Linked DNA regions of Danio rerio. The protein of the gene in region 1 interacts with the protein of each later gene in a pairwise test. Links are inferred from orthologs where the notes say so. Each region holds a gene or a part of one and is shown in the gene's direction. Other genes may lie near its edges.

Region 1 (4,426 bases):
TTTGAAACTGTTGAAGAGATTTCTTCATTGTTATTTGATTAATCCTCTCTGGTTTGATGTAGGCAACTGGATACAATATATTTCAATGTTTCCTTCTATTTGTTGGGACATTGTAAATTTTGGACTACATTTGAACAACAAAAATGATGACTTAACTGCAAATTGTTAACTTCTTTTAATTAAATTCTTCATTCATAGTTGCACACTTTTGAAAACAGCTCCTCAGTTGATTATCTTTAAAAAGGAGTTTGCCACCTGACGCTTTCAGAATAATGAAGGGTAAGAAGGGTAAAATAAAATAGGCATAATGTATGATTTGTTTCAAGAATATGGTTTTATTTAAACCCTCACCAAGTTTTAGTTTGATGTCTGCGCAGTATGTTGATTATTTTTTTGTTAAGTTATTTAATATAAATTTTGTTTGTTTGTTTGTTTGTTTGTTTTGTTTATGTGATGGCTTTATATTTAAATTAATGTATATCTGACATGTATGGTGGACGAAACCTGCAAAAGCAATACATAAATACATAAATATGCATATATATCAATAAATGAGAAAAATTAATTAAGAAAATCCTACTTAAAATAAATCGATAAATAAATAAATATGCAAATAAAAAAATTTATCTTTTTATAAAATTCACAAATTCCTGTATGATTAAATATGTAAATAATAATAATGTGGGCTGGTAAATAATAAAATAAAATAACACGAATGTTGGAGGAATAAAAAAAATGCAATATCGAAAAGTTGATACCCCCTTTTTTAAAACCTTTATTCAGTATTTAGAGAGGCTGTCTGTCATTCATTAGAAGGTGGTCTTTATGCCATCATTGGTTGATCATTAGAAAAATTTTGCATTTGATTTTTTTTACTGGCTTCTGATGAATGACAGACAGCCTCTCATTACCATGTTGACCTGTATAAAGGTTGAAAGGGGGGTAATAAATCAACTTGTTGCATCTTTTTTATTCCTCCAACATTCGTGTAATTTATGCAATTATTTACTTGTCAGCACTATTCATTATTTTATATTAAATATATTTATTTATGCAGGTATTTGTGGATTTTATACATGTATTTTTTCATTTTTTTGCATGTTTGTTTATTTATTGATTTATTTATGCAGGAATTTCCGGATTTATTTACTCATTTATTGATATATTTGCGTATTTATTGATTTATTGTTTTTGCAGGTTTCGTCCTCCATCGACATGTCTCAGTCAGTTTGTGAAAGATTATGTTGGAATTGAGTTTGGCCTAAATTATTATGTTTTTGAAAGGCAAAAAAAATTATGAGAGAGAGAGAGAGAGAGAGAGAGAGAGAGAGAGAGAGAGAGAGAGAGAGAGAGAGAGAGAGAGAGATGTGAACTTGGAACATGGCATGGACCTTCCAAACCTGTAGGTGGCAATGTGGATGAACAAACAATGTTTGAATTTTACAGAGAGGAAACAGACGAAGAGGACATTGTGCGCGCAAAGCATTGAGCTGCAATATTTTCAATGCCTTGAAACGGATTTTAGTTATTTTAAAAACACTGAATTAGACCCCTGTTTCGTCGTTTAAAGTTGTTCGTTCAAATTTTCTTCATACCGTCCAGAATTTCGCGGCAGCTGCTTTTATTTTGCACCTTATGTCGTAAGCAGTGTGTTTCGGGCCTCCACGAGGTCACACCCGCTTGATTCTGATTGTCAAGTTTTGCAGATTTAAGTCCAGAATGTCTAGCTTTAACTTCGGCACAACTACCCTCGGGACCACCGGAGCACCAGCAGCAGCTGGAGGAGGAGGGTTTTCATTTGGAGCTGCGACCAGGTATGAGGACGAATTCAATTAATGTTTTTTTTGTACAAGTCGACGCTTTTCACAATAATTATTGTTTCAAAGCAGCTCCACAAAAAGCGCATATTATTGCATTACGATTACATTCAGAAAAGTTAAGGTTATTAGTTACCATAATTTTATTTGTTACTATTAACTTTAACTAATTAACCAGTAAATAATAGCTTTTAACTGTTAAAGTTATATATAAACATAGTTAACCTACAGTTATTTACTATATAGGTGCTGCATATGTGTACATGTTTAATGTTGCGTTTTGTTTTAATAAGTCTAAAAACTAGCTCAACATCATAGCCTGAAGTTATTGGTTCGTAACATTGCGTTGTATTTCTGGCTTTTTTGTTTCACTTTAGCTCTTTCAATGGTTACCTAAGTATTAACTAAATGTGTGTTGGTAATTAAAGCCTAATTTGGTATTGTCATTTTTTTGTAGAATTTAAGATTCAATTCACTTTCAGTGTTTGACAAAAGTGCACACTATTGTCCACAATTTAAAAATCAATTCATGTTTATTTATATACAGTGTTTTCTACAATGTAGATTGTGTCAGAGCAGCTTAACATAGTTCTAGCAATGTCCAGTTTTCAGAGTTTAAGTTTATTTTAGTTCAGTGTGGTTTAAATTTCACTGCTGAAAGTTCAAACACTGTGAAGCAAATCCACCGAAGCACAAGTCTCAAACCAAGCTAGCCAGTGGCCACAGTGGCGAGGAAAAAAACCTCACCAATTGACGAAGTGAGGGGGGGAGAGAACCTTGAGAGAAACCAGGACCTATTGGGCATGACTATTATTCTTTTGGCCAAACTTCCTGTGTGGACCTCGAGACTGGAGAAGCTGCAGGTGTGAGTAGGACACCAGCGGGAGGTCAGGCTACCCCACAGGATCAATTCGGGAACTCGTTTCTCACTGGTTTTTCAGAGATCAGTCTCATGCACTCCATTCATTATCCATGGCATCAGCTCGGGATATGGCCCGGTCCAGGATTATGGATACCTTGGGATCATCTCTTCACATGTCTTGAATGGCATTAATGACGCTGCATAATCTCTAGGGGCCTCAAAATTAGTATCCTTAGGTGGAAATAGAGACTTAAGAAAATGATTAGCATAGCTGCTGTTCATATTGTATTTAAACAAGATTCAAAAAGTGTTACAAATGAAAATAGCAGTGTAAAATGTATATTTGTGTGTTGTTAGTGAATTGTTTATTGTTTTAAGGTTCAGATATTTTTCTGTATTGTTATATAATAATTTTAGTAATATATATTTGTTTCATGTTTTTAATGTCTATTCCAGCACACCTGCTGCAGGCACAGGTGGATTCTCATTTGGAGGTTTCGGGGCACAGACCTCCACACCGGCACCCGCCACCACCAGTACCACCTCCACATTGGGATTTGGGACCAGTTTATTTGCACAGAAACCAACAACTGGATTCAGCTTGAGTACACCTGCCTCAGGTTCCTGACTGCTCTTATGTCGAAAACACTCCTTAATTTAGCATTTTGATAGAGTAATAATAAAATTGTTGTGGTTAATTCTCATTTTTGATTTATCATCTGATAACATTTTCAGCAGCTGCTGCATCCACAAGTGGCCTTTCGTTAGGTAAGCAATAAAAAACAATTTAACTTTCATTTGATTGTCCTGTTTAGTTCAAATGGTTATAAGCTTTTGCAATTTTTATTTGGTGCAAGAAACCAAGATGGGACATCCCATCTTTGAACATTTTTTTAATGTGAACAGAGTTTTAAGATTTAATGAATTTACATGTTTAAAATGACTTTACCTCACTTAACCAGGTTTTCCTAGACTCTGATTCTTTCTTTTGTCTTGTTTTGTTGTTTTATAATGCTTTAACAGTTGTTTGGACTAATTTATAATTATTTTACATGGTCTCAAATTACATAAATGGGTAATAAGATTTAGGATTTTATTTTATGTATTAGTGTTATCACACTGTATTACTGTAATTTGATACCAATCAGTACTGAAATTTAAAAAACCTCCCTTTCACATTTGAGCGCATTCTTAAACAGCGCTGATTTGCCATTGTGTTTATCTGTGCTCAACAGAAATGACTATGATCGGCTGTAAAGGTCATCAGTTCACCGAACTCATTGCTGTTTACTGAGTGTAAACACTGAGTGTAAAGCCGCAAATAGCAGCTGGTTTGTTTTAAGCTGGCATACGAGCGATCTTTATGGCTTTAAAATTCTTCAGTGTCCCTGTATCTGTGGTCACACTCAGTAAACAACAGCGAATTTAGTGAACTGATGACCTTCACGGCCAATCACAGTCATTTCTGTTGAGCTCGTGAACCCAATGGCAAATCAGCGTTGTTGTAAGAACAAGCCCAAATGTTAAAGGAAAATAGACTTTTTTTACATTTCCGTTACGAATTCCAATATTTTGAAGACACTATTATGTGTTATTTACTGCCGTTGATGTCTTTCTATTGGTATAATAGAGAAGTATTTATAAATATTTATATAAATGTAAATATTTAAATAATTATATAAATATGTATATTTATAAAATACTTTTTGATTTTGTTTTGCCCTGAATTCAGCTTATCTGAAAGCCA
Region 2 (4,431 bases), on another chromosome or scaffold:
TCTATCTATCTATCTATCTATCTATCTATCTATCTGCCTGTATGTCTGTTTCTGTTTCTGTCTGTCTGTCTGTATCTGTGTATCTGTCTGTACGTCTGTCTATCAATATGTTAGTCTTTCTGTGTCTGTCTGTCTATGTATGTCTGTCAGGAATATTTAAAAGAAGAATGATTTGATGAGATTTTGACTTGACATAGACATTAAAATATGGGTTGGAGTGCAGCCCTAAAATACGAATTAAATGTCAAAAATTACTTGGGTTTCTGCAATTGTCAGGATGAAGCATTTAATTAGGCTATTTAAAGAAAAAAAAACCTAATACAATATAATATTACTTTTTATAACAGATCAGAGAAGTAATTTAATTTTGGATGAATACAGGCTACATAAATGACAGTGACATTTAATTTTGACAGGTTGTTTGGAAAAAATTAGACACTAATATAATATGCGTTCTCTGTATATGTAAAACTAATCTTGTACATTTATGAAACCTTCATGAATAGGTACTTGACTTACTTGAGAAATCCGAGAGTCCGTCCATTTCTTTGGTCCACAGTATGAGTACACTGTAAAGTATTTGAAGACAGAGCCCAGGTGCACGGCAGCTTCTCAGGTGCTGCGCTGAGATCATAGTAACAGTCTGCAATTATTTCTGCATCAAATCCGCGTGCATTCAAGCGCGTGCTGGAGAAACGCTCGCTGTCACAAACTCCCGTGTTCCTCTCCCACCTGCGGTTACTCTCACCCGGCTAAAGTATGTCTTCATACCGCGACTCGGACATCCCAGTCCTCAAGAGCCAAAGCGAACTCCTCGGTAGCCTTTCTCCTATAATTAAAATACAGTCAGAAGATTTAAGGCGGAAAGAAAACATTTGTAAGCGACGCAGTCATTGTGTTGAAGCCTGAAATGGGGAAATAGCAAGTGCGCAACAAGTCAGTGGTACCTGAAACCGGCGACTTTGCATTGTTATTCGGTTGTTGATGGCTTTGTGGTCACCGGTGAGACTTCTTATGGTACCAGGACGTGTTTTGACACCCAGAAAGTGATTTTTGAGTAGGATGAATAAAAATTTTGGACGGGGCGTGGCGGTAAATGCCTCAAATAGGCAGTGGGTAGGAGTTGAGAGGCACGGGTTTGGATTTTATAACCAATCTGATCAAAGTGTGTATTTTTTATATTTATTAAATAATCATTTATTGATTTAATAATTAATCAATTGAATAGTCAACAAACCATTTGCTTTCTGAAGCAAAACTTTATAAAGTCAACAACATTTAATTTAAAATATGTAATAAGTCAATAATATAGCCATATGTTTGCTTGTCTTGTTTTGAAAGTATTGTATTACATATGTGTTTGTGAGTTCGGTTAGATTAAGACGTTTAGAATGAAGTGAAAGTGTTTCTCCGGTGCAGCAGATGGCGCTGCGTGGTGGTCAACTTAGCTGCGAGTTCACAGAAGAACTGCTCCCGCGTACGTTTGAAAACACTGGGGTTTCAGATGGCTGGCAAAATTAAAATCCCCGATGAATGTAGCCATAAAACATACTCTGTTTGCGAGAGTTCCGCTGACAGCAGGAGTAGAGTGGAGGAAGATGGAGAAAGCGACGGTCCAGCGGTGTTTATGTGCGGCAAATGCAAGCTGCCAATCGGAGACAGTCTGTCCTGGGCTGGGAGCGATGATGAGAACAACCAAATCATGCTCAAACGTAACTATTCTTCCATTCAATTGTGTTATTTATGTAAAATACTAGTTATAACCATGTTTTGATCAAACATACTAGTTTTGTTTTGTTAAATAATTTCAAAATGTTATCTGTAGTCTGATGGAAATAATAAAAACAGTAATATTTGTATACACTTGTTTCAATTCTGAAGTTGTTTTACATTTAGATGTATATTAATTCATGACACTGTAACACACAGAGTTTAGCAGTAATATGTCTTAAAGCTTATATCTTGACTTTTACATGTGGATTTTTAGGGATTACTGACAACATTGTTGTAGGCAAAGAGCCATTTGTTTCTGGGACCCGAAAGGAGCTTGGATGGTGAGGATGAATTTTTCATAATTTACTGTCTCACACACACATCTTTGTGTTTGTTATATATACACAAAAGAGCAAGTGATTTATGTTATTTTGGTTTTTATTTTCTGACAAATTAATATGAAGTTTTAAAATGACAATTGAATAATACTCTTTTTTTGTGGCTGCATGTATTTATATCCTACCTTAATTCATAAAATTTGTAGGAAAGTATTACAGCATATTTAAAGAAGTTGGTACAAATTTTTCTGGCAAAAATATGTTTTTTTGCACTGTTTGGAATTTAGTTCATAATGAAAATGTCATAGTCATTGTTTGCTATTAAAGAAAAAGTAAAATTGGACTGGACATGCAAAAAAATCAACAATCCCCCACACATTCTAATGTCATGGAAAAAAATTACATTTTACTGCACTGTAAAAAGCAATTAGTTAACTTTTCTTTTAAAATAGTGAGTAAACCCTTTTCTGTTTAAAGTGATTGACTTTATTTTAAAAACTATGTTAATTCATTGGCTCAAATTAAGGTAAATAAACTATATTCATGGGCGTCACATTGACGCAGTGGGTAGCATGATCGCCTCACAACAAGAAGGTCACTGGTTTGAGCCTTGGCTGGGTCAGTTGGCATTTCTTTGTGGAGTTTGCATGTTCTCCCCGTGTTGGCATGGGTTTGCTCTTGGTGCTCCTTTTTCCAAAGTCCAAAGACATGCATTATAGGTAAATTGTTTAGGCTAAATTGTCAGTACTCTATGTGTGTGAATGAGTGTGTATGGATGTTTCCTAGTGATGGGTTGCAGCTGGAAGGGCATCCGCAGTGTAAAACATATGCTGGATAAGTTGGTGGTTCATTCTGCTGTGGCGACCCCTGATTAAAAAATAGACTAAGCCAAAGAAAAATGAATGAATGATCTGTTCATAATTATAAAGATTAAGTCAATTCAGTAGATCCAAGCTAAAACAGGTTTAATCACTATTTTTAAGAAAATTCTTTAAGGCAACAGGTTTACTCGCATTGTCTAGTCAAGTAACTAGTCACTTTTTACAGTGTATACCTTCATTGTTTAGATCAGCATCTGTGTAAATTTGTCTCTCGCATTCAGCCTTGTTGTGAATCTCACCTGCCGTGGCTGTTGCTCAGAATTAGGAGTCATGTACATATCAACCCCGAAAAAGCTGGATTGCAAGAGATCCCTTTTCTGCTTTAATGTGGAAAATATTGAAAGGTACATAACCTGTTGCACATGAGCTTGTATTGTTTTTATTTTTGTTAATTTCTAGATTTTTTTTTATTTGTGTTAATTCATGTGTATCATGTCTCGATTATGTATCTAGCTATGTAGTGGGAAGTCCAGGCCAGCAAATGCCAGAATTAGACAGAGAAGACAAACCAGTGACCCTGGAGTACCAGGACACTGTGCATCAGCAGATGACAGAGGTAAAGCAGTTCATCTGTTTAAATTATTGATATGTGAGCATGATGCAAACCAACGTAAATCGCCTTCTCTGCTCTCAAATAAGCAATTTCGTTATCATTGCATGTGGAGACATTTTTGGATTGGACAAGTTGCATCAAGTTGCATTTTTGTAAAAATTGCAGCGTGTTTTGTTACTTTGTTTGCACTGTGGGAAAATGTAGTGGGTTTTTTTATGTCTATGCATTGTAAGGATTTGCAGCACGTGTGCTGTTAAACCGATGAAGATCTTTTCTTAATTTTTGTGTTTTGTAATTGCATGTGTTTCTTAAATTGTAGCACGTTAAGCTCTCTTGGCCACCATAAAACATTTTAATAACATGAATAAATTTTAGCTAAGAGATAAAACGCTTTATTTTTAGGAGTCCTTTTTACGTATGTTTTTTGTAATACTATAGCAATTAGAATTAATTATGCATAAATTCATGCAACTAACCCTATCCATATAGTAAGTACATGTCATTAATGTTACTCATTAGCTAAATAAATAGTTAAATGGTAACAAGGACATCTTCAAAAAAAGTTTAACTTGGTTACGCTGCAAAAATCTTCTAATAAAATGTATTATATGAATCAAAACATGGAACATTCAAAGGAATGATATTATATATGTACACTAATAACTATACATTGTCATGCATTTCAACAAATTGAACTAAGTTTCTTGAGGATGTGTTGAGTATTTTTGAGAATTAGTTAAACTATAGTTTATCTACAAAATATCGAAATAATAACAACGAAAAAATTAGCTGATACACTGAACTGGTTTATACAGAACTGTTGGATTTATCTAGAGCATTTATGGCAAGTATATTATGAGTGAGTGTAATTAAAATATGAAAAAATTAACAGTTACTTCTAAGTGTATAAGTAATTAAATTGCAGTAACCAGTTACTTAGTAAGTC

What was found.
Region 2: the proteins of nup58 (region 1) and mis18a interact in binary tests that used the Homo sapiens proteins (3 or more experiments, as listed by UniProt). The link is inferred for Danio rerio from reciprocal best matches to the Homo sapiens genes NUP58 and MIS18A.

What each region holds. Positions count from the first base shown.
Region 1 is NC_133199.1:28,988,504-28,992,929, reverse strand, and holds the start of nup58 (nucleoporin p58/p45), read left to right. Parts: upstream 1-1,475; 5' UTR 1,476-1,719; coding exon 1,720-1,814; intron 1,815-3,135; coding exon 3,136-3,299; intron 3,300-3,414; coding exon of another isoform or gene 3,415-3,417; coding exon 3,418-3,447; intron 3,448-4,426. UniProt on the Homo sapiens protein: Component of the nuclear pore complex, a complex required for the trafficking across the nuclear membrane.
Region 2 is NC_133185.1:38,595,813-38,600,243, forward strand, and holds the start of mis18a (protein Mis18-alpha), read left to right. Parts: upstream 1-1,458; 5' UTR 1,459-1,504; coding exon 1,505-1,712; intron 1,713-1,987; coding exon 1,988-2,054; intron 2,055-3,153; coding exon 3,154-3,276; intron 3,277-3,385; coding exon 3,386-3,488; intron 3,489-4,431. Other genes in the region: eva1c (protein eva-1 homolog C), read right to left, coding at 520-634. UniProt on the Homo sapiens protein: Required for recruitment of CENPA to centromeres and normal chromosome segregation during mitosis.